3 linked regions of the Mytilus edulis genome follow. Each later gene encodes a partner of the first gene's protein in a complex. Links are inferred from orthologs where the notes say so. Each region holds a gene or a part of one and is shown in the gene's direction. Other genes may lie near its edges. The genes, in order: serine/threonine-protein phosphatase 4 regulatory subunit 4-like, serine/threonine-protein phosphatase 4 regulatory subunit 1-like and serine/threonine-protein phosphatase 4 regulatory subunit 2-A-like.

Region 1 (10,112 bases):
CATCAGTAATCAATTTGGTTGAATGCAGAATATGTAGGACCTATAAATTAATGTTTTATTTTATAAATTGTTACTAGGAAGTTGGATGGAGAGTTGTCTCATTGGCACTCATACCACATCTTCTTACAAATGTATATCTATGTAGGTCATATATATGAGATATTTCCAGTTGAAAATTGATTGAATAAATGTAAAGTTAGGACAAACTGAAAGAATGAAGAGGGGGTTTGAATGCCTGATTAGTCCATTTTACCCACTGTTTAGGCATGTGTAAACTATAGATAGAGGATTAAATGTACGTTGTATGTTATTTAAACAAAATCACTCAAACACACAATGTTAATGTCAGTAAAATAAGATGTGTATTCAAATTCTATTCATAAACATGATGTATGATCACATTTCATACCTTATCTGATTTAAGAATGCACATTTTACGTGAAAAAAAATTGTCAAAGATGCCAAGGCTTATATTAATGTGAACATGTACATGTATGTTCATCATAGTCACTGTCTGTTCTTGTATGAACAAAACTTGAAAATCAAATATCCTAAAGTTTGATATAAAAGAAGGTATGATTGAATAATGTAACTATTTACATGTCTCATGTTTGTCTCTTTGTCACATTGACCATTTCAACTCTAAATTTTATGTAGCTATCTATCAGAGATCAATGGACTAAGATGTCAATAAATATAGGTCACCTTCAACAATAAACAAAACTTATCAAAAGGCCCTGACATGACAAAATGTGAATCTCTTAAAAAAATTATGTTGTTGAAACACTTGTAGTTATATAAAATTGAGAATGGAAATGGGGAATGTGTCAAAGAGACAACAACTGTATTGTCAACCTGACCATAGAGCAGACAACAGCCGAAGGCCACTAATGGGTCTTCAACGCAGGGAGAAATATGTATGATTTCATTTTGCGATCAACATATGCCATTGGGTTGCTGTCATGTAGACATGTAAAAATGTACCCAACATCTCTCTTTTTATTCAAACTAAAAAATACCCCCGTATGTATTCTATTTACAGTACCATTTTACTTTCTTTTATAATAAAGTTCCTCAAAGGGTATAATTATGAAATTTATTTTAAGAATATTCTAATCAACAAGGAATGGGGCATTTAGTTATGTAATTATAAAAAAATAATTGTGAACAAGGCTATGGAAAAAAGTGAGAAGAAATTTCCAATAGAGAATCATAAAAGCTAATTGTATGTCTTCAAAAGTAATGAAAGTTAACTGTTTAGTCTAGCTGAGCTATAGTGTTAAAAATAACAGAAAATCGAGAAATGATGAGATTTGATTTAAAAACATATAAAGGAGGGTTGGCCGTCATCAATTGAAATGAAAATAAGCTTTTAAAGGTAAATAAATTGCATTTGAAAGCGTTATATACTTTTATTTTCTGAGGTTGTTGTAGAATAAAGATTTAGTATGGTGTGAAATACCGTTCATTTTCCTTTTGTGTTCTATTGTACCGCTATTTGGCAAAATACACGAATATATTATAAACATAGCTATTACCATAATCTGTACATTCAAAATATTATATTTATATTTGATTAACAGTTGGGGTTGCTCATCACAAAATCCTAAAATACATGACATTTATAGTCCCTTTTATACTTGTGCTCTCACGGAGAAAAAATGGCTGTCAAAGATTTATTATAATATAGGTAGTTTAATTTGTGTGTTGTTGATCACAGGAAAGGAAATTAGAATTAACTGGTGGTAGTCTGACACTGGTAGCCCAGTTTACATTTTTGGTAGCCTAGTGCTTTATGATAAAGCAATATTATGGAAAAAATTACTATCCCAGCTCTTATTTTAGATGCAATGGTCTTTTGGGGCCATTCAAATTTCCTTCTCTGGATCAGAAGCATAATTCTCAAACCTTATTTGTTCATGACTGTAAATGTTTGCAACTGGTCAGATTTAAATAAAACAGGATGTGAGATCGATTTCATTTAGACAGCCGTAAACAACACAAAATAAAACAAATAATACTTCAAGGGTGATCTTACTTTTCTTCAACAATGAGTTCCCAAACCATTCTGTTGTATTCTGATTTAAGAAAAAGTTGATTATTTTATTTATTGTTAAAATACATGAAATTGTTCTCACCAGTATTTTCAAATATGACTGGTATATATATCTGAAAAGCACTGTTACCTAAGAAATTCATTAAACACCAAGGAAAAAAAATATAATTTTATGATAGCACTATAATGCCCTAAGGCCATGTGGAAAACCCTATGAACTTTGTGAAAGCTTAAGTTCTTCATTTGCACCTTTAATTAATTGCTGAAATATGAATAGCCATCATTTTATTTTAAGAAATCTTTCGGTAATCCATGTAGAAATGTAGAAGTTAACAACTTTCAACAGAATAAGTTTAACATTGCATTATCACTGCTGTTAAACGTTCCAGTACAAATTAGTTAAAGTTGACCTCTCAGTTCTGAGTTAATTTGAGTTTTGTTGATGAAACAGATTATAATTGGTATGGAGTATCAGTTTCAGCATTGATTTCTGGGTAATTTTCTTTGTCCGAGACAGGATATCACAATGTTGGTGCTTTTCACAACTTCCTTAATTACCCACCTAATTGTTAGAATCAATATGGTTTCCCTAACTAAACATCGAATGCCTTTATGAGGATATTTTTATAGTGTTTAGAAAATGTAATGAACTCAAAACTAATAAAATTATCTCGGTTAAGTACCAAGTTATATAATTTGGACTCGTAAAGGTGTTAATAAATTTCTATGAGTCCTAGTGTTTTGCATGTATACCGAAGGGCCATAACTATAGATTAAAGAGTCTGAACAGAATCTTGGGTGTGAGAAATAAATTCTTCGATAATTTTGAAAGTCACATGTTGAATAGTATGATCTCAGTCTGGTAAGTGGAAATTTTTTACCTGCATGTTCCTCCCGTGAATTGAAAATGTTATGTTACTTTTGTTTCCCTGACAAAGCAAGGTTGTGGTTCTTTCCCACCAATCAGCCTTCCTCCACCAAAAAAAAACTGTTAGTCTTAAGTGCTGAAAGAGGCAATAATCTTAAAAAGATCAATAAATAAATACACACAGATATCAGTCAAAGTTTTGTTTACAGGAGCAGCTAGATTTGCGTTTCCTCTAGAAAAAAAAAGCCAAATAAAATAAGAAGTTCAAGATCAGTAGGGACCCGAATTCTGAAAGGTTTTGCTAAAAACAGTAGCTATGGTAATCTTCTTGTGGTGAAAATCCAATTAGTATTCATCAGATCTTTTATTTTTTGGGGACTTTATCCTTTTACCTACAATCTGTTACTGGACCCTTTGAGCATATGAAGATATAAATAGAATTTATAACAGTATAACAATCTCAATTGACGAGACAGGCTCAAAAATGCTTTAGGGTTAAACATATTTTTGGGAGATCTCAGATATACTTCTTGACAAAGAAAGAAAAAATAGTTAAAAAAAAATAACCAATTTAACTTGTTTTGACTTAAAACTTTCTGAAACTCAAACATATCTTCACATCAAACTGACCGCCATGAAATAGCCAGAAAGGGTGCTTAAAAGTGGCATTAAAACAACTAAAATAAAATCCTTGAGAGAGAGAGAGAGAGAGCCAATGCCTTTTAACCTTTTTGATACCAGCATCACTGATGAATCTTTTGTAGAGGAAACATGTGTATAGCATACACAATTATATGCCATGTTTAATCTTTGATGATCTTTTAAAAGGAGTTATTGTTAAGAGTCTGCATGATTTTAACAGATCCTGTTACAAGAATATAAAGCATTATTATAGTCAACACAAAAAGTGCTAAATTGATTGATATGACCTAAAAGTATAGGTTATTTTACTTTTTATCATGGTGTGTGTATGTTCATGAGCTCTGCATAATATGATTTAAATACTTTTGATTTATTATGCGGTCCCATGGATTGATTCTCCAACCTTTCAGTTGTGAAATTTAAGATGAGAAATTTGAAATTGAAATTCCAGCCTGAAATTAATCTTCATCAAACGAAAATTGAATTGGGTCCCTGTCTTTACACATTCAATTGAACCTGTACAAACAATTTTCATTATAATTTTCTATAAAAGATGTTGACTCGGTCAAGAATCAAGAAGGTTTTCCTTTGTATTAATGTCAGGCTGTTATTACTTGTGGGACATTAACAGCTCTTAACTTTTATACACCTTAATATTGACAGAGCTTTGTAAATCTATAATTAGGTGTTGACTCTAATTTTATTTTAATAAACATTTTATCTACCTACTTATGCTTATACAAATATTCATTTGAACAGGTCTAACTCTATCACAAATATTTGACAGCTTCATAAAACCATATATTACACAAGGTATGTTAAAAGAGATGACACTTCAAGTTAGTCACTGACCCATCCTTTTTGTCAGATTAAAATGACAGTCGTTATCTCTTGATTATAATTAATTTGACATATACATATATATATCTTTCCAATCAAGATGTTAGAGTTGTCTCCCATGCACTGAGATAATTATTTTCTATAGAATTTATTTGCAAAATGGTTCTTAATTATATAATATTAATTCTTTTTTAAAAATTTTAATTGACAAATTACTTATTGGTAAATTTAACATTTTGTTTTGATCTTGTTTGAAGTTACAGGTGGTCACAAGGTGCGTATATTACAATACATGTAACATATAACTAAGGTCACATGAATAATCCATTACATAATTATAGAGAGAGGAATTTGCAATTGTTTACAGAAATAGAGTGGAATTTGACCTATTGGGTTGTGAACATCCGCTAAAATTGTAATTAGAAATTTTTTTTTTTTTTTTACGATGTGTAATTTAAATAAATACGTAAAAAAAATATAATTTTATATATTTTCAATTTTTTAGTTAGCATTGACTGGCTTGGAATAACACTTCATTTAGGTTCAATTTGTGTTAAATAAATCCATTGGAGACTCAAAAATAAAATTAAGTCTGTCATAATCTGCCTGTCCTTGATATAACAACAAAAATTGAAACTTGTGTGAAAAATTTCATCTTTGCATATAAGCATTGATTTTTCCTTCACACTATAAGGAAATAACCTTCAGCTAGAAGATACAATATTCTATCTATAGAAAAAGAGTGTCAGCCTAGAAATGTTCAAATGACACTGAAAAGTGATACCAAATTTCAAATGCATTGGAAATTTGAGTTGAACTAGTAACAGATGGCAAACATTTTAATGTATTGACATTTAGGATAATGAATGAAAAATGTAATTTGATACACAGCAGATAATTGCTCATATTAATAACATATAGCTTTTAATAGTTTATTATTATATTAAGACAAAAAGTCCATTAACTGGTTGTGATAATTTCTGATCATTTTTGATATCAGTGAATCTGAAAATGTTGATTGTTAACCAAATGTGTAAGGCTTGATAAAGTACATCAGTTTTTGGGAAAGTGATCGACTTACCACTTGAATGTAAAGATTTAGCTCTTAAATTGATCACACAAGTCTGTTCTTTGTGGTGGTGCATTGTGGATAATCTGTTTATATGTTTAAGTACATAATCTGTGTATATAACAGTTTTTCTGATTCATTTCCTGTTTCCACGGAAACACAATATCATTTTTTTCCCCTGTTGGTATATATGTATGGGGCCAGTGACACAAACATTCTCTCGCTATGTGAATGAGTAGCTAGGAATTACATCACTAGTCTGATTACGATACCAATTGTCATTACTTATCAAGGGATATATTAAATTATTAGATGAATTTCTGTGTATTCGTTGTGTTCATCTGGATATATAATCAGGAAAAATGAGAGTTATTAGTGTAATTTCTTGTTGGATTGTAAAATATATTGACACTTTAATTACTTGATTGTTATGGAAGAAATCGAAGTTTTCTCTACAAAGTTATCTAGTACAGGAGAAAATGTTAAACTTTTCTTAGACCACGATTATTTAGAAATTCCAGAAGAGGATATCGAGGATCTTGATGAAGAAATGGGATATGAAAGTTACTACACAATTGAAGAGTATGTATTGTTTTGTTGGTACATGATCCTGCAATTAAAATTTCCTTTTAATAATTAGTGTGGAAAAATTATATTTTAAAAGTTTGAAGTCAATTTGATATGGGTAATTTAGCACCATGTTTAAAAGGTTAAAAGTTGTAATTAGTTTTGAAAGAAGGTAGGGCTCAAATTTTATTTTGGTGCATTCTGAAACAGACATATACCTGTTGTAGTTGTTTTGTTTTTTTCAGGGTCAATTGCATGTTTGGATCAATAACATATTTAGGACAGTCACACCATAACATTATATATTCAAACATGCCCCATATTGAGTTTGATATTTGAGTTTATATTGTTGTTGTAAATAGATCAGGATAGTCAAAAGCACCAACACAATTACTCTTAAATAAAACTTTTAAAATGTTTCTGCTTAAATGTTCTTAAAAATAAGTTTATACATGTGTGTCATGTAGGTATACATTTTTGTAGAAAATTTTCGCATATGGAGTTTATCTTCTAAGTAGATAAATTATTACAATAGACTTAGAAAATTCAGATTTTAGGGTCTTCAGGATTAACAAAAACATATTTCTTGCTAAAATTGTAAAGAAAATCAACCAAATTTCCTTCTAGGTTTGTAATACAACTAAAGGTTGGGTATACATGTACTTTGAAGATTCTATCCTTATCCTGGGGGGGGGGGGGGGGGGGGGGGGGGGTACTGTCTGTTCAATTAGTACTGGGTCCTTGCTAAATCCATCATTGATTTAATAGATTGATCTATATCTTCATTTATCTGACAGGTTTGTACATTAACCAGTACATGTGTGTGTACAGGAAAGATAAATTGCTTCCTTGATTTTGTCAAAACATCTGATACATATAAAACATAGATCTAGATCTAGAATCCATTGCTTAATTTTAAATTAAAAGAAAAAAAAACATGAACAGTTTCCAGATTCAAATAAATCCAATTTTATGACACATTTCTTGGGGGACTCCATAGATTCAATGGCATTGTATTTTGATCGACAAGTCCTTGTTCTATAATTGTTATTAAACAAGTGTTCCTCTCTTTAATAATGATTTTTTTTTCATAAGAATGATGGATCAGTTCATTTTTGAATTCTGGTTCCTTAAAAAACTTTCTATAAACTTGCGAAGAGCTAAAATTTAAAGTCATTTAAGACAGTATATGTTTTTTATGTTTATGTAGAAAATTGCTCCGCACATGGTGATACCAGTTTCATGTATTTGTACAAAGTACTTTATTTTTTATATGACTAATGAACCAAGTTAAAAGTATATTACATCAGCTAGGCTAACCACATTAAAAAATTTAAGTGACAGGTGTTAGTAGTTAGAAAACAGGAAGGGTAAATTTCCTTTAAATTTACATCATACATGTAACATAATAATGAGAAACAAATCTTTAAATAACTCTTCAAGTTTACATCAGGAAAACAAGCAACTATTTGTTGATTGGATGTCTTAAAGTATTTCTCAGGCTCATCCATCAGCCATTCTTATTGAATAACAAGATTTGCTGCTTTTATTTAGATTTAAACATAATGAAATGAAGAAAACTTTTGTAGTTGTTGCAAGAGAGACAATTTTTACATGTTCTGTTTTTATTTTGATAATTTTCTGTCATGTTGTTTGGGTTTATGTGGGCTGATGATAGAAAGCAGAGAGACAAAACAAACTTTTAAGTTGATTGTTAATTCAATATGCAATGTATTAATCAGAATAGTTTCAAGTCAAAACAATGTTTATGGTAAAGAGATATTCTATATATTGCATGGTTTATTAAAACAAATGACATTAACTCCATCACAATTTATATTGCTCATTTATTTTGCTGAACATTAAGTTTTGTTTTTTATTTCCTGTCACTCCATGAAATTTAACCCAGCACTTAAACAAAAATGTAAAATGAATCTTTGAAATTTTGAATTTTTTCCTTTTGTAGTATTAGAGCATCATTTGCTAATGAAATTTGGTGTTTTTTACTATCTAAAATCGATTGTTTAGAAACTAGACCAGATGCCATATTGGAAACTAGATAAGAAAAAAATGAAAATTAATAAATCAATTATTCTGTTTCTAAAGTTTCGCATCAATGTAAGGTTTGAATGTTAAACATGGAAAATTAGTGGAATGATAGCTAAATATAGAATCATTTTTTTTCTACCATATAGTGACCGCCTTCAACAAATTGAAGATTATGTCACAGGAGGAAACTTACAACAAGACATAGATTGGAAAAATGTACAATTTTTAAAAAATAGGAAAAATTAAAAATTTAAAATGTTTTGTATAATAAAGTAAGATGTTGTAATTGAGTTAATATTGATGCTTTGAAATTGAAGATTTGAAAGAGTCGACTGAAGTGCAATTTACAATGTTGTCCGGTAGTTTGTTCCAGTCGGTGATAGTTCTTGGAAAATATGACTCTTTTCTGTACTGTGTTTTGCAGGATGGAATTTGGAAGCTGTTCGAATTTGTATGTCTTGTTTGTCTTTTTTGTGGAATTAATTTATTTTGTTTAGGGATTGCAACCTTTTCGTGTTCAATTTTGTAGAGCATTACCAATCTGGAGTCTTTTCTTCTGTCAGAGAGACTGCGCCATTCAAGATGTTGTAACATGTTACCAACGCTTGAGGTGTTTCTGTATTTGTTGGTAACAAAACGCGCAGCCCTCCTTTGAACTTTTTCAATGCTATCTATGTCTTGTTGTAAGTATGGATCCCAAACAGAGCAAGCATACTCTAGTGATGGTCTTACTAGGGACTTATATGCTTGCTCTTTAATGGATGTTGAACTTATGTTCAGGTTCCTCTTTAGAAAGCCTAGTGTGCTATTAGCTTTCTTGCATATGTTGTTAATATGCACATCCCATTTAAGGTTTGAACTGATGGTGACCCCCAGATATTTTGCTGTTGTTACATGTTCTAAAGAATGATTGTGTAATGTGTAGTTAAATGTGATTGGTTTTTTATTTCTGGTGACTGAAATTACATTACACTTATCTGGGTGGAATGCCATTTTCCAGGTAGTTTCCCACGATGCCAGTTTGTCAAGATCTTTTTGTAGTGTTAATGCATCGGAGTTTGATTTTATTGCCAAATAAACTATTGTGTCGTCTGCAAATAAACGTACTGTAGATGTTAGACCAGATGGAATGTCATTAATATAGAACAAGAAAAGACTTGGTCCAAGAACTGACCCCTGTGGAACCCCTGACTCAACTGCAACATACTCAGATTTTTCCCCCTCTAGAACTACTGCCTGTTTGCGATTGCTAAGAAAATTTTGTATCCAGTAATTTAATTCCCCCTGTATCCCGTAATGATGAAGCTTATTAGTTAAAAAAGAATGTGAAACTTTATCGAATGCTTTAGAAAAATCCATGACCAAAATATCTGTTTGTTTACCATTTTCCATGTTTAGTGAGACATCGTCTATAAATTCTAATAGTTGTGTTTCGCAGGATCGATTTCTGCGAAATCCATGCTGTAGGGGATATAAAATGTTGTGATTATCTGCATGTTTCATGATGTGTTTTACTACGATGTGTTCTAAAAGTTTGCAACAAATACATGTGAGTGATATAGGACGGTAGTTTTCAGGGTTATATTTTTGGCCTTTTTTGTATACAGGAGAGACATGGGCAGTTTTCCAGTCATCTGGAACAACGCCTGTTTTGATTGACTTCTCAAAGATAATAGTGAGTATGGGTGCAATTTCATGTGAAAGTTCTTTTAAAAATCTTGGTTTAATTTCATCTGGTCCTGCTGCTTTGTTTGGATTTAAGTTATGTAAGAGTTTTTGTATACCTTCTGTTTTTATTATTAATTTTGATATGGGTGGAAAAGAAGTATTCTGTGGCATGTTACACTGTTTGACAAATTCTGTATGAGATTACATTTACATATATCTTCCAAATATTCATATTTTTATTGTGTTAACTTGGTAAATTGATGTTATCTAAGACATTTTCAGCATTTTCATGGATATCAATAGACATATATTCAATATAATTGATATGAAATATCAAGAAATATTTTGATGAG
Region 2 (10,203 bases), on another chromosome or scaffold:
AAGTTCTAAATTTCCTTGAGGTAAGACTTGCTTGGATTATTTTAGTCCAGATTGAAAGATTATATGAGCCAGTCCATGCGAAAAGGTACAAAAACGAAAATTTTACGAAATTCTAAAAAGTGTGCATAATTATTGGTAGTAGACTTGTGATTTATAAAACACATTTACTTTTCCTTATATCCTTAAGCTGTGAGCTACACGCACCTGCAAGTGTTGAGACCCCCCACCCCTTCCCCGCCTTTTAGTTTTATCATGATTTTTAATGAATTATTTTCATAGTACAGTTTAAATGGCTTGATTTGCCAATTGATAATGTTAACCCCGGTAGCAGTGGGGATAAGGCTCTCGCTTACGATGCGGATATCAATGCAATCAGACCAGGCAACGGTTCGAATCCCGTGCAACGACGGTTGATTTAAATAATATTAAATAACTTAACTTAACTTAACTTAACTTTAAATAATATTAAATAACTTAACTTAACTTAACTTAACTTGATTTAAATAATATTAAATAACTTAACTTGATTTAAATAATATTAAATAACTTAACTTAACTTAACTTAACTTAAATTTCAATTTCTAAAATACAAGAGGTCATAGTTTTTGTATTTTCCCTCATGTTTTAATGTTGTCTTTCTTTCCTTAAACCGGTAAAACTAAAGAAAATTATTGACTTTTGTGTCTTTAGTGTCGTAAAATTTTAAGTTTCTGGTCGGTATAGCATTAGTCCGGGGAACAAATGATTTTACACTTGCTCAAATACCAAAAATTCAGATATTTCTACGTCTTTTGCTGTTTTAATTGACAAATTCGGGATAGAATTGACAATCTTATGAATGTTTACATTAATGTAATTTTTTTTGGATAAAATCGTTTTTCAAAAATATTATAACAAACTTTGATAGTTTGTCCTGTAAAGTTTACCAAAAGGACTTTTTGTACCTTTTCGCATGGACTGGCTCATATTACTTAGCATATAGTTTGAAAACATGACAAAGAAATAAGTGATAGCAGTTTTAGGAAACTATAAACATTTAAATGAATGGATTAACGTGAACTATTGATATACCTTCATCCTTTACTTAATCTTGTTATCAACAGTATTGTGGATAAGTGAGATGCACTATTAGAATCTCTTAGTAGTTACACTGAAATCCATATTTAGAGTTGCTGATGTTATTCCTTCTTCATATTTTTCAGTTTCCTCTTTTTCTGTAGATCTCAATTGTTTTTATCATCTTCCAAAACAATTAAAAAGGAATAAAACAAATAAGAGATGTACACCAGTGAAATTTTCAAACCGCAGTCGACAAAGCCTTTATGAGTAGACGTACTGTCAAAACTAGAGGCTGTAACTTTGCTTAAATGTTTCATTTACCCTTTTTGTTTTCTCAAAAATCCGTTTTTTTTTCTCCTTTAATTTCAATTATATTTATGTTTTTCTGTGTCATTCTTACATAAATATACTAGAAACAAAAGTTGTTTACGATTTACTATCAATTGTTAGTTTAGTATATACTGACAATGTGTATATTTTGGATAATGACAACTAGATATGGTATTCTAACATGACGTCCTTCAAACGCTTTGAGTACACACCCGTGGTAAAATATGAATATATTGCCAGTGCTGTTCCGATTGTACTCCCACGTCATATGCTTTTTTGTGAATGAGATACCCGACGTCATAGAACAATGACGTTAGAATGTAAGCATTTTACGGGAAAATACACGCTTGTGAATCCGAAATTCATCACAAGGAAACATACACAAATGATGCTAAAATGTGGCAAAAGCCCTTTATTGTACATCATATAAGACATATAAATAAATTATCATTCAAATTCATCCAAAACTGTCTAAATACATTATTTTAAATAGTTTAAGCATGTCACTAATGCAGTTTGCTCCGTTCTTTTACGCTATAGTTTATTAGTGCGTTTATTTATGGGAACGGCAAATATTTGCCTACACCTAGAGCGCTTCGATCCAAAAGAATTGCCGTATGTGTCCTATCAGAATCGAAATAATTCATGGGGGCTTGAATATATCTAGATTTTACCACGGGTTGTCCCTTTATGCCGATATTTTACCCCTCGCTATCGCTCAGGGGTAAAATATTTGTCATAAAGGGCCAACCCGTGGTAAAATCACGATATATTCAAGCCCCCATGAATTATTTCTTAAACAATAATTGTATTTATAAGTATCATTACCAAACAAACTGTTTATTCATTCAATTAGAAAAATGGCTTGCTCCACGTGCAACTTTCTAGTGGACCTTATAATAATGAAAGCAAAAATTGTAGCACTGAATTATGATAATATTTAAAACCTATGGTTTAGAAAATGGACTAGTTTGGAATGGTCCTGTACTGTTTAAATCAAATGCGTAAAAAAAATATATACTAGTCTCAGGGTCTGAATAATGATAATGGAACTGAAAATGATACATTTCTTCTGATCAAGCAGTTAAAATCAAACTTAACGTGTCAGTGTAGTACAAAGCATGATATCTTCATATCAAATGGATCTGCTACCGTCCTGAATAGAGCATTATATATAAGGGTTGAGATCTCAAAAACATATTTAACCCGGCCGCATTTTTGCGCCTGTCCCTAGTCAGGAGCCTCTGGCCAGTGTTAGTCTTATATGATTTTTTATTTTAGTTTCTTCTGTATAATTCGGAGTTTAGTATAATAGTATATATATTTGTTTAGGGGCCAGCTGAAGGACTCCTCATGAAGTTTCTCGTCGCCGATTGAAGACCCATTGGTGGCCTTCGGCTGATGTCTGCTCTGTGGTCGGGTTGCTGTACGTCTCTTTGACACATTCCCCATTTCCATTCTCAATCTTATTAATCAATCTGTCTTTGTCCGTCTTTTTCTGTTAATCAAGCAGTTACTAGTACCTAATTTCAGATATTAGAGGCAGCAAACACAACTCATTTAAGCAAAAAAGTAGAAGACGAAAGGCATGTTTTATTAGATTTTCCCCTTCTTGAAATCTGTAGAAAGCTATCTTCTAATGCTCTCAATTATAAATATACAAATTTTATCAACCTTAAGCTCTCTTCAGCGAATACATTTTGATGGTTTTAAATTACTAATGAAGATAGTTGTTTTAAAATATCAGATATAACAGAAAATCGGAATTCATTAAAAAATCCATATATTTGGTTGGCCATTATGTAATTTTTATTTCACAAATGATTATAGACATACTCCCGTTGTCGTACATTTCAACTTATTCAAGACAAGTCGTTGATTGTATATATGTACTGCCTAGTTGGTACATTTGCACAAAATCTGCCATAGTTTTGGAAACAACAAACATCCGCAATAGATTAGGATTTTACAAAACTGGCCATAGATTATGATTTTAAAAAATTTGCCATAGTTTTGGGATAGCATGACGTCATATTTACCATATATTAGGAAACTGCCATAGATCTGGAACCCACCATAGATTTGAGTCCTACATATATATTACATATTATATAACTCTCTGCTTAATCAAACCTGGTACAGTACTAGTCTCAGATAAAACCAACTGAAATGTGAGAATGGTGAAGTTATCTCTTTTTGTCCAGACAAATAAAAAAGATTAAGTTTTTAATGCAGATTTTAGTTTGTACCTAAATGCAAATTTCCAGATCAGACAGGGAAAAAAGAAAAAAGTTAAGATAAACAAATAGAGTTATTCCTCTTTGTACGGGCCTCCCCAATCATGTAAATATTTTAATAATCATGTTTCCATATTTATTTTCAATCATATTCAATAATTAACAATCAGTATGTATGTAAGATTGCATGTGCTGTTTGTGTGGATATTGTAAGAACTTTGTGATTTGTGTTTATTTATATCCTTGTGGGCCCTTTGTTTAGGAATAAAGATATTTGAATTTGAATATATCATACCCAGATATCTTCAAAATAAACTACATTAATGACGATTTTAGATGACTGATACGACCAAAACTTTTTATGGACTTCAAAGAATGATCAAATCTGAACCTTGGTTTTTTAATAATATTGAAATTTATAAAAAGAGAATTTAAGAAAGGTTTGTTATAAATTTTGTTGGTACCTGAACACCGTGAATACTGCCATGAATACGCAGCGGTATCGACCCAGCGCTAGAAAATAAGAACAAAGCTTTAAAATTTTGGTGTGTCCAAATAGATTCAACAGAAACGTTCAAGCCAAAGGATGGTAACGGGAAGAAATAACACGTGTGACTGCTCAGTTTTTCATTTTGCCTCGTCTCCCATTTGAAATATCGAAATATGCGAAGAAGCAAGTATCTTATTTGGAAACTGTTCTCAGGGAATACTAGAACTAAATACTTATTTAAACCAATTTTCGTAAAGACAAATATCTAATCTTAGTTACTATTATAACCGTCGCGTTTCGTAGAATAGAACTGTTACAAAATTCGGCACATCATTTTATATACTATTGATAGAACGGTGGAGGTTAATAGCAAAGATTGAAAACTAACATATGTATACTTCCTTGGTTCCTATTCATACCGAGCTAATACCGTATTCAGTGAAGTTAACATTCAGCATTTAATGTAGTAGAGGACTAGATTCAATTTTTATTCTCTTGTCGTAATTCATCATAGACATAGTGACAGCATGCACAAAACATGCAGGAAAATATAGATAGACCTATATTGAATTTGATCCGTTCATATATTATCTGTGCACATTTTATTGCTTTGTGCACAGGCACTTGGGTCATATAATGTCATATTGTAAGGTATATATAGGATCAATCTATCTTATGTCATTTCTTTGTTCTCGTAATATATATCAAGATTTAACGATTATAATTGTATAAATGTTAGGTACCAAAAAGTGAATTAATTAAAATACCGAACTCCTATGAAAATTCAAAACGGAAATTCGCTCATCAAATAGCAAAAACAAAAGCTCAAACCCATCAAACGAGTGGATAACAGCAGTCATTTCCCCCGGCGATTTTGTACGTGCATTTTCTATTGTAGAACAAAAGTTACATGGTTAATTAAATCTGGTTTTAAAGTTACTAAACCTCTCACTTGTATGACAGTCTTATAAAATTCCATTATATAGACAAGGATTTTTTTACACTTATGCCGCAATATAATGTCCAAATTAAAAAAAAATTGCCGAGCGTTGCTAGTCACTTTTTAGCTATATTCTGGTTTTTTTAAATCTCGATCGGCAAATGAAAATGAGGGCGTATGGTGTATATATCATACTTTTATATATTTGGTGCATGAATGATCTTATGCATACAATTATGGTCATTTGTCTTCATAAAGTTAACTGGATTTATGGATTTGTTGAGTGCCTCATATAATTTCGGACAACGAAAATATGACAACACAAACATATTTTTCAACTCAGGCCAAGTTTTATAAGAATTGATTTACTTAGGCCGAAACAATATAAAAACGGTCCAATTAAAAGTCCTGCGTTGAAAAAAGATACGTGACACCGAGAAAAAAAAAGTTAAGATCAGGCAAATAATAAAGAATAGAATGTTGGGAACCAATACACCCTTATTGGGGCCCCATATTAAGAAAATTAATGAATTATATATTGTGCTTTTAAAATACATTTCAAACGTTTTATACGAATGGAAATTGTCATAGTTTAGTCGAAATGGACGAAATTATATCTGTCAATTCATCTTTCCATGCATAAATCAATTGATGGAAATAAGCCCTAATTTCAAGTGCGGAAGCTTATCGGGCACTGACTGCCTAATCACACACAATGCCAAAGTCCTTTGTTTTCATTTTATTATTCAGATAAACGTTTAAACAATTATGTTTCAATCCATTATATGTAGTTATGAAAGACTCCAAGGACAATATTCACGATAATCTGTACCCAAAAACGTGTATAATTCCATATAAAATGATAATCAAATTGTGAATGTAGTTCGCCATTCATGCACATATATTACCGAACACGTTTACGACGGACATCGGAATCATCCGAACAACAAAAAATTCCCTAACCAATCAATCAGAAGAATTTTACAGTCATCGACCAATCAGCGATAGTTTTACAAAGTAGCGTGCTCCTTTCAACATGGCGGGTGAGTCCACCTCATTTAATAAACCCTGTTCTATTTACGAAATTTAAACTTTTCCGCCTTTACTGAAGTAATAATATTATTTTTCAGATATTGACTTTTATGGTGGAATAGGAGACGATAACGGTGAAGAAGGTAAGTTATGTTTACATCCACATTTTTGTCATTGTTTATCACTGCAGAGCACGGAGATGACAAAATGTCCCAAGTTCTGAGATTATGATATCCTTTCGCGTCCACTTTCAGTGTTCAACATTTTGAGGGCTTTATCAGTATGTCCGATGTATGAAATAATATTCCTTACAAAATATATAATGCAAAATTTCGTTTTATGTATTTGTTTTGACACGACACGTGTAGTTTAATTCGTAAATTCAAACATGACGCCAAGATTTGTAGAATCAATGATGCCATGATTGTGATCACGTGATCTGGGTTTCCCCCTAACCCCATGACCCAAGTTCCCGCGCACGATTCCCATTTGAATTTGGTGGCGTGTTTGTGAAGGCTCCGTAAGTATTTTAATTATTTTAGCTACCTGGAAAACAATCGAGTGCTATATTGCTAATTGAAATTGCTATTAAACTTAATGGCTTAGTCATGAATGAGTAATGACAATGCAGTGCGTCATTCTTGTTGAATAATGGTAAATAGGTCACGCTTCCAGTGAAATCTGTTGCCAAAATTTATCGTAATGGAGGGTAGCGAGAGCGCGCCAAAATTTTTTGGTTAAATTTTGACCAGAAAGTAAGTTTTGTTTTTAAAAAGATTTTTTTTTTCAAAGTTTAAAAGAACTATATGTCGGACTTGGATAGTTTCATGAACAAAGAAATTTCCATTGTTGCCATTTTTCCAATGTACAGGAAGCATTTTATAAAGTGGAAATTTGTGCAAAGCACGCTTGCAAGGCAATTTTGTTTAGACGAAATCCAGAGTACTCAATGTCGAAAAATTGTCTATATTTGACATGATGTTGATGTTACTTGTTGGTTTTTGTTTGTGTTGTGTAAATTGCTATTGTGTACTAAAATTAATTAACATGGCTTGACATTTTGTTGGTTGAAATTAAAAATTATTCCAATACACATACATGTACCTGAAATATACAGACAGTACCTAAGTATTTCTTTCTCTTCCCAAACATGCCCTCAGTTAAATTACTGTTAAAGTTATTGTTTTCCAAAATTTATTTGAAAATAGTGTGTTTTCTTGTGATGTCGACATATTTTTGGAAGACTACATAGTACAAATACACCACTGAACTGTACCAAGGTTGTGGAAGTTTGGCTGCCCCCCTAACATGTCAACCCCCACCACACAAATTCTATGTTTGAATGTTCCGAGTCAGGAGCCTGTAATTTAGTGGTTGTTTGTTGCTGTATATCATACATGTATTTGTATTAATTCATTTTTTTCAACGTAAATCAGGCTGCAAGTTTTCTTCTTTGAACTCTTTTTACATTTGTCGACTCATTCCAATTTCTTTAATGGTATGGGTTTTTTTCATTGCAATTTTAATTCAGCTCCTTGTTATTTAAGGGCAGAAAAATCAGACTTGAATTTCCTGAAGTGTATAGAACAAAGATTATAACCTCCCTTGTGCTTGATTTCTCCCATTGATAATTGTTTACTAAATTAACACAAGTACTAGTGAGTTCATTTCTTGGAACTAAAAGAAGGGTGACTCAACCCTCTTTCTGCCAGAGGAACACATATGTCCATGGTTCAATTTATGCAAGCTTCTCATCAATGCAGTATCTCTTTCAATTAAAAGACCGAAGATTAAACAGTGTTATGTTTTTCTCCAATGGGTCCCAAATGTAACGGTCATTATGTTGTGGCGTCATATATTGAATGATGTTGTTGTTTGGCATGTTATGTCACAGACGTCAGGCTGTCATATTTTCCGGAATATGAAATGCAACCTTGAAGAAAGGTTGGCAGCAAGAGGGTAAATAGAGGTGAATCCTGATCTTGATTACATTACACTTAATCCAGATGGTCTAAAAATGTATTACAATTTTAAATATCAAGCTCAAATTCAACAATAATTACATGTAAAGCACTGCAGCCATACTTGTAAACTCCTAATACTCCTGAAAAACGTTTGAAATTCAAGTGAATAAAAGAAAAGCAACCTCGATACAAATGCTATTGTTGTAAGTGATCAAACTGAAATGTACATAGAAGTGCAAAGTACTATATTTGTTGTATGGAAGAGTTTGTATTTGGATCTAGTGCCAAATAATTATGACTTTGATTTGTTTTTATTAACAAAATTCTGACATTACCATGGGATAAAATATAATTTATAATTGCTGCAACAAGTCTTCATAATAAAATTGACATGCTAGGGTCAGTGTTCCTTTGAAATATCTTATTTCATCATGGTAAACAGTCAATTTTGAAATGTTAAAAGAGTTTCTAGAAATTAAAGCCTTGTATCCGTAACGCTATTTATAATAAAGAGGGGAAAAAATTGGTAAAATTGACATGCTAGGGTCAGTGTTCCTTTGAAATATCTTATTTCATCATGGTAAACAGTCAATTTTGAAATGTTAAAAGAGTTTCTAGAAATTAAAGCCTTGTATCCGTAACGCTATTTATAATAAAGAGGGGAAAAAATGTTAAAGAATCGCATAAATATGACGCTAAAAGGCCCTTAGAACACTTAAGTTTATGGGTTATCATAGATTTTTTGGAAAATATTTGACACACAAAATTAACCATTGAGCACAAACAAATTTTAATAGAGGCACCTTAAAAGCCCTACTATCTCTCTGCCAATTTATTCTTGTGACCATTGTGAAATGAAGACTGCAGACATGGGATATTAAGCCATGCCATTTGAAATTATAATCTATATTCTAGGTTTTGGACTCGATGATGATTTGGATGGGGAAGATAATTACAACACAGATGATAAACTTTCACCTCTACAAAAATTGGAGAAATACATGCAAAGTGACAATGTCTACACAAGGTTAGTCGGTTGTTACAAATATTGATGCAAAAGAAAAGTTACTTTTTTTACACGATTTCTATATAAACCTTTGGACTGCAAAGTTTATTGTGTTTTGTAATCTGAAGGACATGTATTTTTCTTGTAATCTTATTTAACAAACATTTTTCTATTGAGTGTCCTTAAGTGGGTTCGTGAACAATTATTAGATTTCAATTAAATTGGTTGTATACAGAAATAGCAGAACTGAAGATTTCATGTTAAAAAATAAGTGCATTTTTGTTCTGTAGACAAATGGTTGCTCGTGGTATGTTGGATACAATTCGAGCAGTGGAAGATGAGGAAGAAGATTGCACACCTGTTTTGGAAGCTATGGTGAAATTATCGGAAGATTCAGGTATGTTATTTGTAAAATAAGAAACCATGCAAAATGAGCTTATTCTCATATTCATTTAGCTATCTTTTAGAATGAATAAATCATACACTGAATGTGACATTTTATGTACATTACTCTGATGTTTTAAACATTATTGTTGCTAGAATGTAAAATCCACAATGTATTGAATCAAAATCGTCTGGAAAAAGTTTTAAACATTTAAATCTGAATCAAGTAATTGAATAGGCTTTAAGATATCTAGTGATTTGAGAAAAATGAATAAATAAAAAAAGAAGGTAAAAGGGGTTAGGCAAAAAAAATATATGTCTGTTTCTTGCTTCTGACCGACCCTAGATTTTTTTTTAATTCCGGAAAAAAATCGTTTCTGATCCGTATCATACTATGCCCAAACAATAAAAGTTGCTGCTCCCAGCACAAATGTGCTACAATTAAGGTTTAAAAATGTTGGCACTAGGAGGAGAAGTCAATTAAAGCTTCTAAATAGAGATTTGCATACTTTTGGGTACAGGAACCCAACCAAACATGACATTGAACCAACTGCAGGGAGTGCAAAAAAGAAAAAACAAATAATTAAAACAAAAAAAAACCCCGACCTACCATCCCTGATTTATTTACCTTGGCAGTAGGAAACAGACATATATTTTTTTTTGGCCTTTGTTCAAACAATTTTAAGATTTTGTTGTTTACTTCTTACATCAGATGCTGAAATATTTTGATTTATTTTTCCCAGCATATTCTGTTTAAGAAA
Region 3 (10,615 bases), on another chromosome or scaffold:
TTTGTAAAGGTGTTTTTTTTCTGTTGAAGTAATACGAGAAATAAAGGTAATATCGAAATAAAAAAAAGAAATTAATTACAGAAATCGCTAAAATTTTACAATAATTTAGTTTAAGTACAGCTTATATGGAAATTATATTAAAAAAGATAGGTCACCTATGAGTTGAAAAAGATATTTCAATTTTAGAGCCAAAAAATGGCATTTTTCCACCAAAGGGAGATAATTTGGAACTTTTTCAATGATGTTTACATTTTGAAAGTCATCTGGGGCCAACACGAATTGATTGTTTTGAATGATTTTTGTACCATATGATAAAGTAACAACTACAAAGGAAATAAATAAAATTTGTAATGAAAAACAAATGTTTGATTTTCTGAAATTTTTATACCCTCGAGCCTCCTTAAGACCCTATGTCGCTCAACTTGGAGCATATGTGCATATCAAACAAAAGACACAAATGGATTCATGACAAAATTGTGTTTTGGTGACGGTGATGTGTTTGTAGAGCTTACTTTACTGAACATTCTTGCTACTTACAATTTTCTCTATCTATAATAAACTTTGCCCTTTAGTTACAGAGGAAAATATTTTGTAAAAATTTACAAAAATAAACCAAATAAATGGAAATTGTTAAAAATTGACTATAGAGGGCAATAACCCCTTAAGTGGTCATCTGACCATTTTGTTCATGTTGACTTATTTGTAAATCTTACTTTGTTAAACATTATTGCTGTTTACAGTTTATCCCTATCTATAATAGTATTCAAGATAATAACCAAAAAGTGAGCTAAAAATTAAAACAACACATTATAAATTCTATGCTCCTAATTATCTGGATTTAGGTTTGAACCTTCATCATAAACGTATAAACGTATAAACACTAAAATTAATATGCTTTAAAGCTTTTTATGAACAGTCTGAGTCATTTTGAGCAAAGGTAAGAAGCTAAAAACACTAAAGTAAACATACGCCTATTTAAAGTATTAGAAGTGTTGGTCGCACATTTTTTCTTAAATTTATCAGATTAGGACAAATTCCATCATCGGTCAGCAGTATTATATACTTGGTGTGTAGAAGCTAAGAGAACATGACCACTGGAAGTATGTTGCACTTTAAAATTCTTTGAATGAATGGGACAACTTGTTTTACTTACACCTGTTCCAGGTAGAGGAATCATGAAAGTCAACATGCCTCTTTGCTTCAATCTCAGTAAATATTTCAGTAGCAGATATCTTAATATTGTCTTCTAAATATATAAGTCAATGCAAATTACCTTAATATTGTTTGACCAAATATTTTGGTTCTACACGAGTTGTCCCGCCGTGATACAGGTAAAACGGGGTTCACTAATTAGCGACAAGAAGCGTCAAGAAGCGACAAGAAGCAACAAATAGATTATACATGCTATTTAAGATCCAGCATGATCTTATAGATATAGACCGTCACCAATATTTGACCCCGAATGATAACCGGACCAGAGGTAAAAACCGCTTCTTCCAAGAAAGAACAAGTACAGACACCTACGGCCAATCTTTCTTCCCGAGGACAATCAGGGACTGGAACAACCTACCAACATCAGTTACAGCGACCAACACCGTTGAGGGATTCAGAGCACAGGGACTCGGTTAGCAGATTAAAATTGTGCTCATCAATGTTTTTTATATTTTTTTTTAGTATATCCTGTCTATTTGTATTACTTTATTAACATTTTTTGACGATGCCATCGATATTTCTTTGTTTTCTAGCAATGTTTGTATTAAAGAGCATAAAAATGAAAATAAAAACAAAGATTTTTCACCTTTCCTTTGAAGGAGTTATTGAAACAAAAACATGAAATATTATTTCCTTTCTAACTGTATAATTAATTTTTCCTGATAGGACCAACGTTAGCTGTGGCTTCACCCCAAGGTAATACACAATGTAGAACATCAAATGAGATTAACGAGGCGCGTGTCTCTTGCCGTTTAATTGCTACAATAACATCCAATTAACACCTTCAACTTTGTACACGCGTCAGACTATACAATTACACGCGCTAGAATATACAATCATTGTAAACAGTGAACACCTGTTGAATTAATATTGTCATTAATTTCCTTTAATCTTCAATCAATATGCATAAACATGATAAATATCGTTAAATGAGGCAATACACTAAATAAAATTATGAAAAATATTCACATTTTAATTATGTTTTCGTCTTGTTTGATTTCAGTTCTTTGTATTTCACAATTTGTGTCTGCATTTTCAAGACAATGATGCACAAATAAATCATTTTGCAAGCTTAATATTACAGGGGCGTAGCTACCCGGAGGCACGACAGCACGTGCATCCACGTCGTTTTCAAAAAAAAAGCAGAAGAGAGAGAGATGACTGAGTTGGTCAATCGGAATCGGAGACTGTTGGTGTCTTTTCCGTCTATCCCGGATATTAGTTTGACAACCTAGTTACAAGTGTTGATGAAGCTGTTCATTCAGAAAAAGGTCGTAGCTCCGAAGTTGCGTGCACATTGATTCGGCATGCAAAACAAGAAATGACAAAATAAAAATTTATAAATTGAATGTTAAGGCAGCAACCATTTGATTTTCTGGGGGGGGCTATGGTTTTTTTTGGAAAAAAAAGTTTGTTTCCAGTTTTTGGAGAAAAAAATAATTTGTTTTTGATTCTGAGAAAAAAAAAATTGTTTGTTTCACCCTCAGCTGCCACTATATGTAACGCTAAAATTGAAAGAAAAAAATTGTTTTCGACTTGTCGCGAAAAAAATAGATTGTTTTTCGCCACAGGCGAAAAAAAAAGTTTGCACAGAAAAAAAAACCATAGCCCCCCCCAGAAAATCAAATGGTTGCTGCCTAAAGGAAACACCTATGTTGTCACTTTTTTTTAATTGATGAAATATCATTAAATAACGACATTTGGTTTCAAAATATTATTTTTTTGGAGATTATGACAAAATCGGAAGGTTACTTGTATCTTTTACAAGATTTTTACTTTTGAATTTGTAATACTCAGTCTAAGCAGAGACATATACTAATTGTATTATATGTCTCTGGTCTAAGATATGTAGTTTTGGAGCACATTTTACAGTGTACAGTTCATCAGTTTGGAATGAGATGTACCAATCGGCATTAGAATTATCAGATCCCTTCGATATCGTTGAAAATATAACCGGAAGAAAAGTGATTTCAGGAACTTTTACTATAATTTGCAAAGTGCTTTTTTAGGAACTCTCGTTTGAATTGAATATGTATATGAACTCTCGTTTTGAATAGTTATATGAACTCTCGTTTCGAATAGTTATATGAACTCTCGTTTTAAATTGATTATTTCTCGTTTTAGTTTTAAGTTGAATATTTCTTGTTTTAAATGTTTCTTTATTCTTAAATATAATGTTTCTTTATTTCATATACCCAAAGAGATTAATTATAGATTTACTATTTTACAACTTAATCCGATGGCTAGTGCGAAACTTACACTCAACTTCAAAAGAAGCAATTATCGTTATTTTGCTAAGTTGAGCCGGAGGACAATAATCCTATTATTATTACATAACATTGGACAATTATATTTACAAAATGTATATTTTATGAGAACCTTTTATAATGTTTTAATACCCTTATCTTTGACTTAATTTATGTTTTGTAAACTGTTGCTGGGACAGTCTTCCCCTAGCTTTCGAACTGTACACTTGTGTTAATAAATTTGTATATATTTTTATACGGTCTTGCGTTTAAAGCAGCCATAGTGTCGATTATAGACCTACAGACTTTAATGTAACCCGTGCCGAAGTTCACGGACTTATGCCGGAATTTCACGGGGTTATAAAAATATGCCGAGGCGATGTGGTTGACAGACTACCGGAGCCAATCACCCTGTAACCACGCCAAAACAGTATTGGAAAGTCTCATTATTTTTTGCGTTCATAGACCATATGATAAGGCAACTGAAGAGTGGAGTCGCGCCAAGTTATCAGAAAATCGCTTCTTTGTGCTGTATCTGCTTCATCGCGTTGTAGGAAATATCACAAACGAACAAATCTCAATATTGTCAGAAACATACGAAACTGACGAATTCAATTGGGAGATCGTTCGATGCCGAACACGTACGCTGGTTTATAACATCTCGCGAGTGCTACCATGCCATGATGGCCCTGAGATCTATCAGTCACGGTACTACGCATGTAATTGAAAACAAATGTACGATCAACAATGAACAACGAAAGTTACATAGCATTACTGCATATTCATGGAATTCAGTGTGAATGTTGACAAAGTAATAAAGAAGCTTGTTTCTGCCCAGACCCGAAGATCAGATTTTGGACAATTTTGAGTAAATTCTGTATCACAAATATGTGTTGTTTATGTATTACTATATTCAGAAGATTTATTAATAGCTTCACATTCATAATTTTTTATCTACACATAGCTCCTCTTTTAACCGTCCTATGACCGAAAACTGAAAAAAAATTCTGCATAATAGGGTCCCAATTTTTTTTCTCACAGTTTGTGTAACTGGTACTTTAAAATTATAAACGCTATATTGAAATGGAAACTGTCGAAAAGCAGGGCCGTAACTACATTGTGGCAAATGAGGCAAATGCCTCATGTTGAAAACTTCAAAAAAAAAAATGAAACAAAAAAATTGTCTTCATATCAAATTGTGTTCACGGAAAGTGTCTTGCAAAAAAGAAAGTTCTCTTCACTCTCTGCTGTCGTCCCTGCATGTTTTTCGTGATCCATATTTCTATTTTACTTTTAGTTTTGTTTTCAGAGTTGATGGTCTATTGTTTGTTATTATGTGTCCCGGGTTTGTCTTTTGTTCATTTATTGTCCTACTTTGTGACGATAGTCTGAGGGTTAATTTCCATTTGTAAACGTGTGGTTTTGCAATGTTGCATGTTAACCGATGTCCAGACATTGTGCGACAAAAATATTTTAAGAATATACGATGCTACTGGACACAGAAAAAACTGGTCGTTTCTGCATGGGGCATTGAACTTGATATCAAAGAATACAAAACTGACTCTTTTTGTAGATAAAACTAAACAGCTGACATGGATTAAATTAAAGTAAGACGACCAATTCATCGGTATCAAATCATCTATAAAAAAAAACATCACTGTATAGCTATATGACCTTTTACATTGAAGGATTAAACTTGCATTAAGTCTTGTTAACAGAAAATAAAGGAATATGGAGAAAACGTACACGGGAACTAATCTCACACAAAGTCAATGCATAGAAAAAATACAAATGACCAATGTTCAAAGTTTTTATTCCTGTTCTTCATCTTGGTAGTAGACGGAGGGTCTTCAACAATAAAAGAATCATTAATACCGTAAAACAAGGTCAAGATGGTTCTTAGTGTCGACTTAGGCAGTACTAGTACTTAAAGTATATTACTGCACTGTCACTATGTTTAAATCTAGTCATTATAAAATCACCAAAGTCTAAGCACAATACAAAACAAGAACAGACAGACAGACCCGGTTTTTATTTCATGAGACTTACGATTTTTGCTTTATCCTACACATCGGTCTGTTAATGATGTTGTCTCCGTAAAACCTAAAAGTCCCAAATTACAATGAATCTACGTTTTTGCTTTGAGACCAGCATATTGTCGGAGAAAAATGGCTAAAATATTAATTGCGTTTCAATGTTAGAAAGAGTCTGGGAAACGCTCAGAATGCATGATTTTGCGTTATTTTTCTCAAAGCTTCTGGGGGTCCTAAGCGGTCCCCAGAACCCCCCCCCCCCCCTCCCCAGACCCCTCGCCGAAAAAAATTCGCCTCGCTACGCTCAGCATATATATTTTGCCTCACTATTAACAGAGGCTAGTTACGGCCCTGAAAAGTGATAGAATATTTCTCTTCGTGAACATTTAGTGACTTTTTTACCTGTTTTGGGGGGTTGTCTCTTATGTCAATATACATGGTAAACAGATTTTCACGTTTTCAATGATATTTGGATTTTTGATATTTTCAAATTTTGTTCGCATCGCTCCGCTCGGCGGTAGTAGCTAACACATCGTTTCGTTCTAAAACACAAGGAAAAGTAATCTCATAATACAACAGCCTTTTCAGGGTAAACGTAATGCTAGCTGTTATACATAATAAATGATAAATACCATGTAAATAAATGTTTCAATTTTTTTTCATCAATATTTACCTTTCTTGTCGCTAGAATTGTTTTCTTTTGCATATTCTTTTAATATTTATTTGGAAAAAGTAATTTTAATTAAAAAAATATGTTTTCTTGTCGCTTCTTGTCGCTAAAATAATTCTTCTTGTCGCGTCTTGACGCTTTTTGTCGCTTAAATTCTTCTTGTCGCTAATTAGTGAGACCTAGGTAAAAGGGAAATCCTAAAATTGAAATTAGGGGGTTTAATTATTTCCTTACGCCTACCATGGCAGTAATATAGTTTAAGCAACACGTTTCCTAGGTTTAAATTTTTATTCAAAATGCATTCAGTGCAATTTTAAAGCAAATTTATTGTAATATTGAATTATCGGAAATGAACTTACCTATCACCCCCAAAGAATGAAATAAGTTGCGCCATAACGTCATTTCCGTGCCGCCATTTGTTGACCTCCAGTTTGAGAATGGAAAACAAAGAGGATATTTTAGACGCTTTGAACGGTAATATATCACAAATTAATGACTAAAGATAAGCAATGACAAGTGTAGTATTGAACTACACGATAGTACTCTGTTTTGAATTTGATTCCTTAAAAAAAGACGTGAATTTAATAGTACTTTATTTTTTCTTTCAGAATTTGAGAAGAAACCATGCACAGAAATCCCTCCATTGTTAGACCAGTATCTGCATCAAGTTGCAAAAACAGGAAAAACTTTGTATGTTTTATTATAAGATTGACCTAGGTTATATGTCGTACTGTAGTCAATATATGCATACTTCATTTGACAATTGAAGCCCCCCACCCCATGGCAAATTATCTCAAGATTAAATAAAGTTATCAAATCATTTAATTGACATAATGTCAATTAAATGATTTGATACCTTACCTTGGCTTTAAAATTAGTTTTTAGAAAACCTGAGTTTTGGTTTGAATAACTGACCAAATCATAGGCTAAAGGAGAACAAATAACTATGGCGTAGGAAGGTGTCAATGAAAAAGTAAAATATTAATGCCTCTCAAGACGCTTTCGAGACGTTTGACCACAAACCAATCCAGCTAAACACCACTTGGGCATTGATCATTTCAGTTCGTTAAGAAGTCTCAGACCCGGTTGTGATGTCACTGCAGATCTGAGAAGTGTTTATAGTCATCATTTTGTAACATAACTTCATCTTTATAAAAAATCTAAATTTGATGTCATATCCTTGCTCTACATGTATTTATTGATAGGGACAGAAATAATGAATTGTATACATGTACATGTAGCAACAAACTTTCATCTTCTCACCGTTTGACTCGCCATAGCCAAACAAGATGAGGCCGTGGACTCACCATCAAAATTCCTTTAATAGTGAGAACCCTGATTAACCCTTTCACCGATAGCTGCCCAGACTGAAGCTACTCTGAGACGATGGCTTCCCTGGCTACTATTACTTAACCCTTTCCTCCATAGTGACACCTTTTGACGCCACCCCCTTTACTCCATAATGACGCCTGTGTAGTACCTCTGTTGAAACGCTTTGACTACAAAGTGTCTGCAGTTGACTTAATAAAATTTGTATCCAATATGAAAAGGAATAACATAGGAATATCTGACTTAAATTTATTTGAAGAAATATTTGTTTTTCGCAATGCATTAATACTTTAAAGTATATGTTCAGCATTTTATTAAAAAAATCCTATGCGAATCAAGTATGCAAAAAAAAAATTTCAATGGAGGAAAGAGTTAAGTTGGAGATCTTCATATTAAATGTCAATAAAAACTTGTTTGTAGTTATTTGTGTATTTATTTTTTTCACTAACACTATGTTCACAGTTTTGTTCATGTTTTGATAATTTTTCTTCATAAAATATTCAAATTTTCAAATTTTCGGCATTATCTAGGTGAAATTATCAAAATTCTGCTCTTTGACCCCAAGTTGTAATTTTTTAACCCAAAACGGCAAAATTTTGAAAAATTTTACTAGGCTGTACAAATTCCTCACACTGAACGATGTCCATTCCAAGTGTTTCGTACATAAAACAACATTTTATGTCCAAAAAGTATACTAGTTTGGCTTCAATTCTTCCATATTCTTTCAAAAAAAATGTTCCCTCATTTCAAATTCTCGTAAATTCAGTAAATTTCCTCTGATTTTGACACAGTTTTCAACATGTAGAAGCGCCATGTTTACACTTTCATCCGGATATTTATCAAAGAAAGATAACTCATGTTAGCACTGTTTTGAGCGGGAAATATAAAAGAGGTATTCCGATTCCCGGTAAAACGGGACTCATCGTCAGCTGTCTGAAGCGTGAATCCCGGTAAACCGGTACTCATCGGCGAAAGGGTTAGGATACAAATATATTATTTTTTTTGTTTTAACAGAAACAACTCAAATTTAAACTAAGTTTTCTAGTGCCCATATATCCGCGATCGGAACCTGCACTATGTAACATACAGACAAGACTGAAATCATAAAGATGCTTGATCATTTTATTGACAACACAGTTTGGTACTTTTAATTTTAAACTGTGGAAGATTAATAACTTCCATTGTCCTCAGTTTGAATGCACATATAGTTGAAGATTTTTGGAGGTCTATTTTTATATGCAAGAAATTGAAAAAAGTCACATGTACATGTATAATTTTATAATACTTATTTTTTCAGATTTCCATGGCATCAGCTGAAAAAGTTATTTGTGGCAAAAGTTGATCTAGTCATGACACAGTTCAAGGAGACCAGTCCAACAGACTTATTGCAGACAACACCAAATATTGAGCCAGTAAAATATGACGAAATGAGAAGGAGAATCCTGTCCTTAATGGATGAATTTCAAGGGTAAAAAAATCCTAACCTACGATTTTGTCTCATACAAAATTTCTCAGAGATGATTAAACATGAAAATGTCATAAGTTGATTACATGAAACTGAGGTTTGGCTTTATAAGGAATAAATTTGAAGCCATTGTCCTTTGTGTCAAAGGGGAGGTAATCTCCCTTACTTATATATTGAAATATGTGGTAATAATCTCTTTATGATAAAATTGAGGTTTTGCAGAATTTGACATGGTAGTAAGTCAGGACGTTTTGTATTTTAGTCATTTTCATGACTTTACACTTACATGTACAGCTACAACTGAAATATAAGTGAACCACTGACTTCAAAATGAGTCAATTGTTATCTCTTGGTTTCGAAAAAGAAATCAAATGCCTGAAGTGGATGATAATCAATCTGCAGAACACACCCTTTTATAGCTAGAATAGTTCAACATTTTATTAAATATAATGACCCTTTAGAAAAAACCTGAATCAATTGTAATAATTGCCATTTTAACAGAACATCTAAAGGTTCAAATCCTAGAAAAGGTCTATTGTGAGAATACGATACAATGTACCAATATATAAGTAGAGACCAGGGAACTTAATTGGGGATATGTAATTTTGATTTAAGTTATATTATTCTTATTTTTACATTTAGGGCACCATTTACTGTTCAAAGGCTTTGTGAATTAATCAATGAACCAAAAAGGCATTATAAAAGATGTGACAAATTTTTGAGAGGCATTGAAAAGGTAAGACATTTAAGCTCACCTGGTTCTAAGCATTTGTTAGTTACCAGTATATCATCTCCATTTGTCCACATCCATTATACCAAACTTGTTTTCAAAACAAACTTTTCAATTATAATAGTAGTACAGATGAGTTTTTGTGTAAAAAAGTATTAAAATAATTTTCAATTTATTCTTTCAGTCCTGTATGTTCGGATGCAAGTACATTTATAAATGCAAAGATTTCAATATATTTACTTTATCAAATTATTTGACATGTTAGATTTAGAGGACACATCCCCAACCCATGGTTAAATATAAACAAATCTATAGCTGATAAGTATAATTTTGATTCGAATAGGACAAATATAGTAATTTTGCCAACCATGAAAACCCTATAAACACAATACTGTCCTGACTATAATAACAAATAAAATAAAATCACTTTTTTTCACCTTAAAATATTCTTTTTATCTTATTTTAATATTATATTCTGAGGGGAACAGAAGCCTGAAAATAAACATTAGAGATAACAGTATTGTATTTGAAGCTTGGCCTACGTAAAACTCAGTTTTCAATGTGGCAATTTATGTTTACCTGGGCCGAGGCTGGTGGTACACATGATAGACAGATTAGCCAATTTTCTGTATCAATGCATTTGGGCTAAAAGTAGATATTCGGTGATTACACTAGTTGACCATATATATGGGTTATCATATTAGAATTGTTTATTTGTGATCTGATATGTCACTACAAACACACATAAAACCAACTGAAATATGCTTAGCATGCAATTTGTAAAATATAAGTGAAGTTGTAAGCAAATTCTACCTCTGGTTTTTGTGTTACAATAATAGGATTTGCAGTTTAAATTCTTTGACATCTTGAAAATAATTAAATGCACTGTTTTCTTTCAGAATGTGTCAGTGGTGACTACAATAGATCCAT

Evidence for each region.
Region 2: serine/threonine-protein phosphatase 4 regulatory subunit 4-like (region 1) and serine/threonine-protein phosphatase 4 regulatory subunit 1-like share a complex: the UniProt entries of both Homo sapiens proteins name them as parts of the PP4 complex. The link is inferred for Mytilus edulis from reciprocal best matches to the Homo sapiens genes PPP4R4 and PPP4R1.
Region 3: serine/threonine-protein phosphatase 4 regulatory subunit 4-like (region 1) and serine/threonine-protein phosphatase 4 regulatory subunit 2-A-like share a complex: the UniProt entries of both Homo sapiens proteins name them as parts of the PP4 complex. The link is inferred for Mytilus edulis from reciprocal best matches to the Homo sapiens genes PPP4R4 and PPP4R2.

The regions. Positions count from the first base shown.
Region 1 is NC_092346.1:31,242,210-31,252,321, reverse strand, and holds the start of serine/threonine-protein phosphatase 4 regulatory subunit 4-like, read left to right. Parts: upstream 1-5,417; 5' UTR 5,418-5,905; coding exon 5,906-6,057; intron 6,058-10,112. UniProt on the Homo sapiens protein: Putative regulatory subunit of serine/threonine-protein phosphatase 4.
Region 2 is NC_092348.1:29,192,063-29,202,265, forward strand, and holds the start of serine/threonine-protein phosphatase 4 regulatory subunit 1-like, read left to right. Parts: upstream 1-6,027; 5' UTR 6,028-6,092; coding exon 6,093-6,099; intron 6,100-6,186; coding exon 6,187-6,231; intron 6,232-6,476; exon of another isoform or gene 6,477-6,608; intron 6,609-6,715; exon of another isoform or gene 6,716-6,843; intron 6,844-8,967; coding exon 8,968-9,079; intron 9,080-9,348; coding exon 9,349-9,455; intron 9,456-10,203. UniProt on the Homo sapiens protein: Regulatory subunit of serine/threonine-protein phosphatase 4. May play a role in regulation of cell division in renal glomeruli. The PPP4C-PPP4R1 PP4 complex may play a role in dephosphorylation and regulation of HDAC3.
Region 3 is NC_092344.1:52,044,273-52,054,887, forward strand, and holds the start of serine/threonine-protein phosphatase 4 regulatory subunit 2-A-like, read left to right. Parts: upstream 1-6,481; 5' UTR 6,482-6,598; coding exon 6,599-6,635; intron 6,636-6,769; coding exon 6,770-6,851; intron 6,852-8,787; coding exon 8,788-8,958; intron 8,959-9,597; coding exon 9,598-9,691; intron 9,692-10,584; coding exon 10,585-10,615. UniProt on the Homo sapiens protein: Regulatory subunit of serine/threonine-protein phosphatase 4 (PP4). May regulate the activity of PPP4C at centrosomal microtubule organizing centers.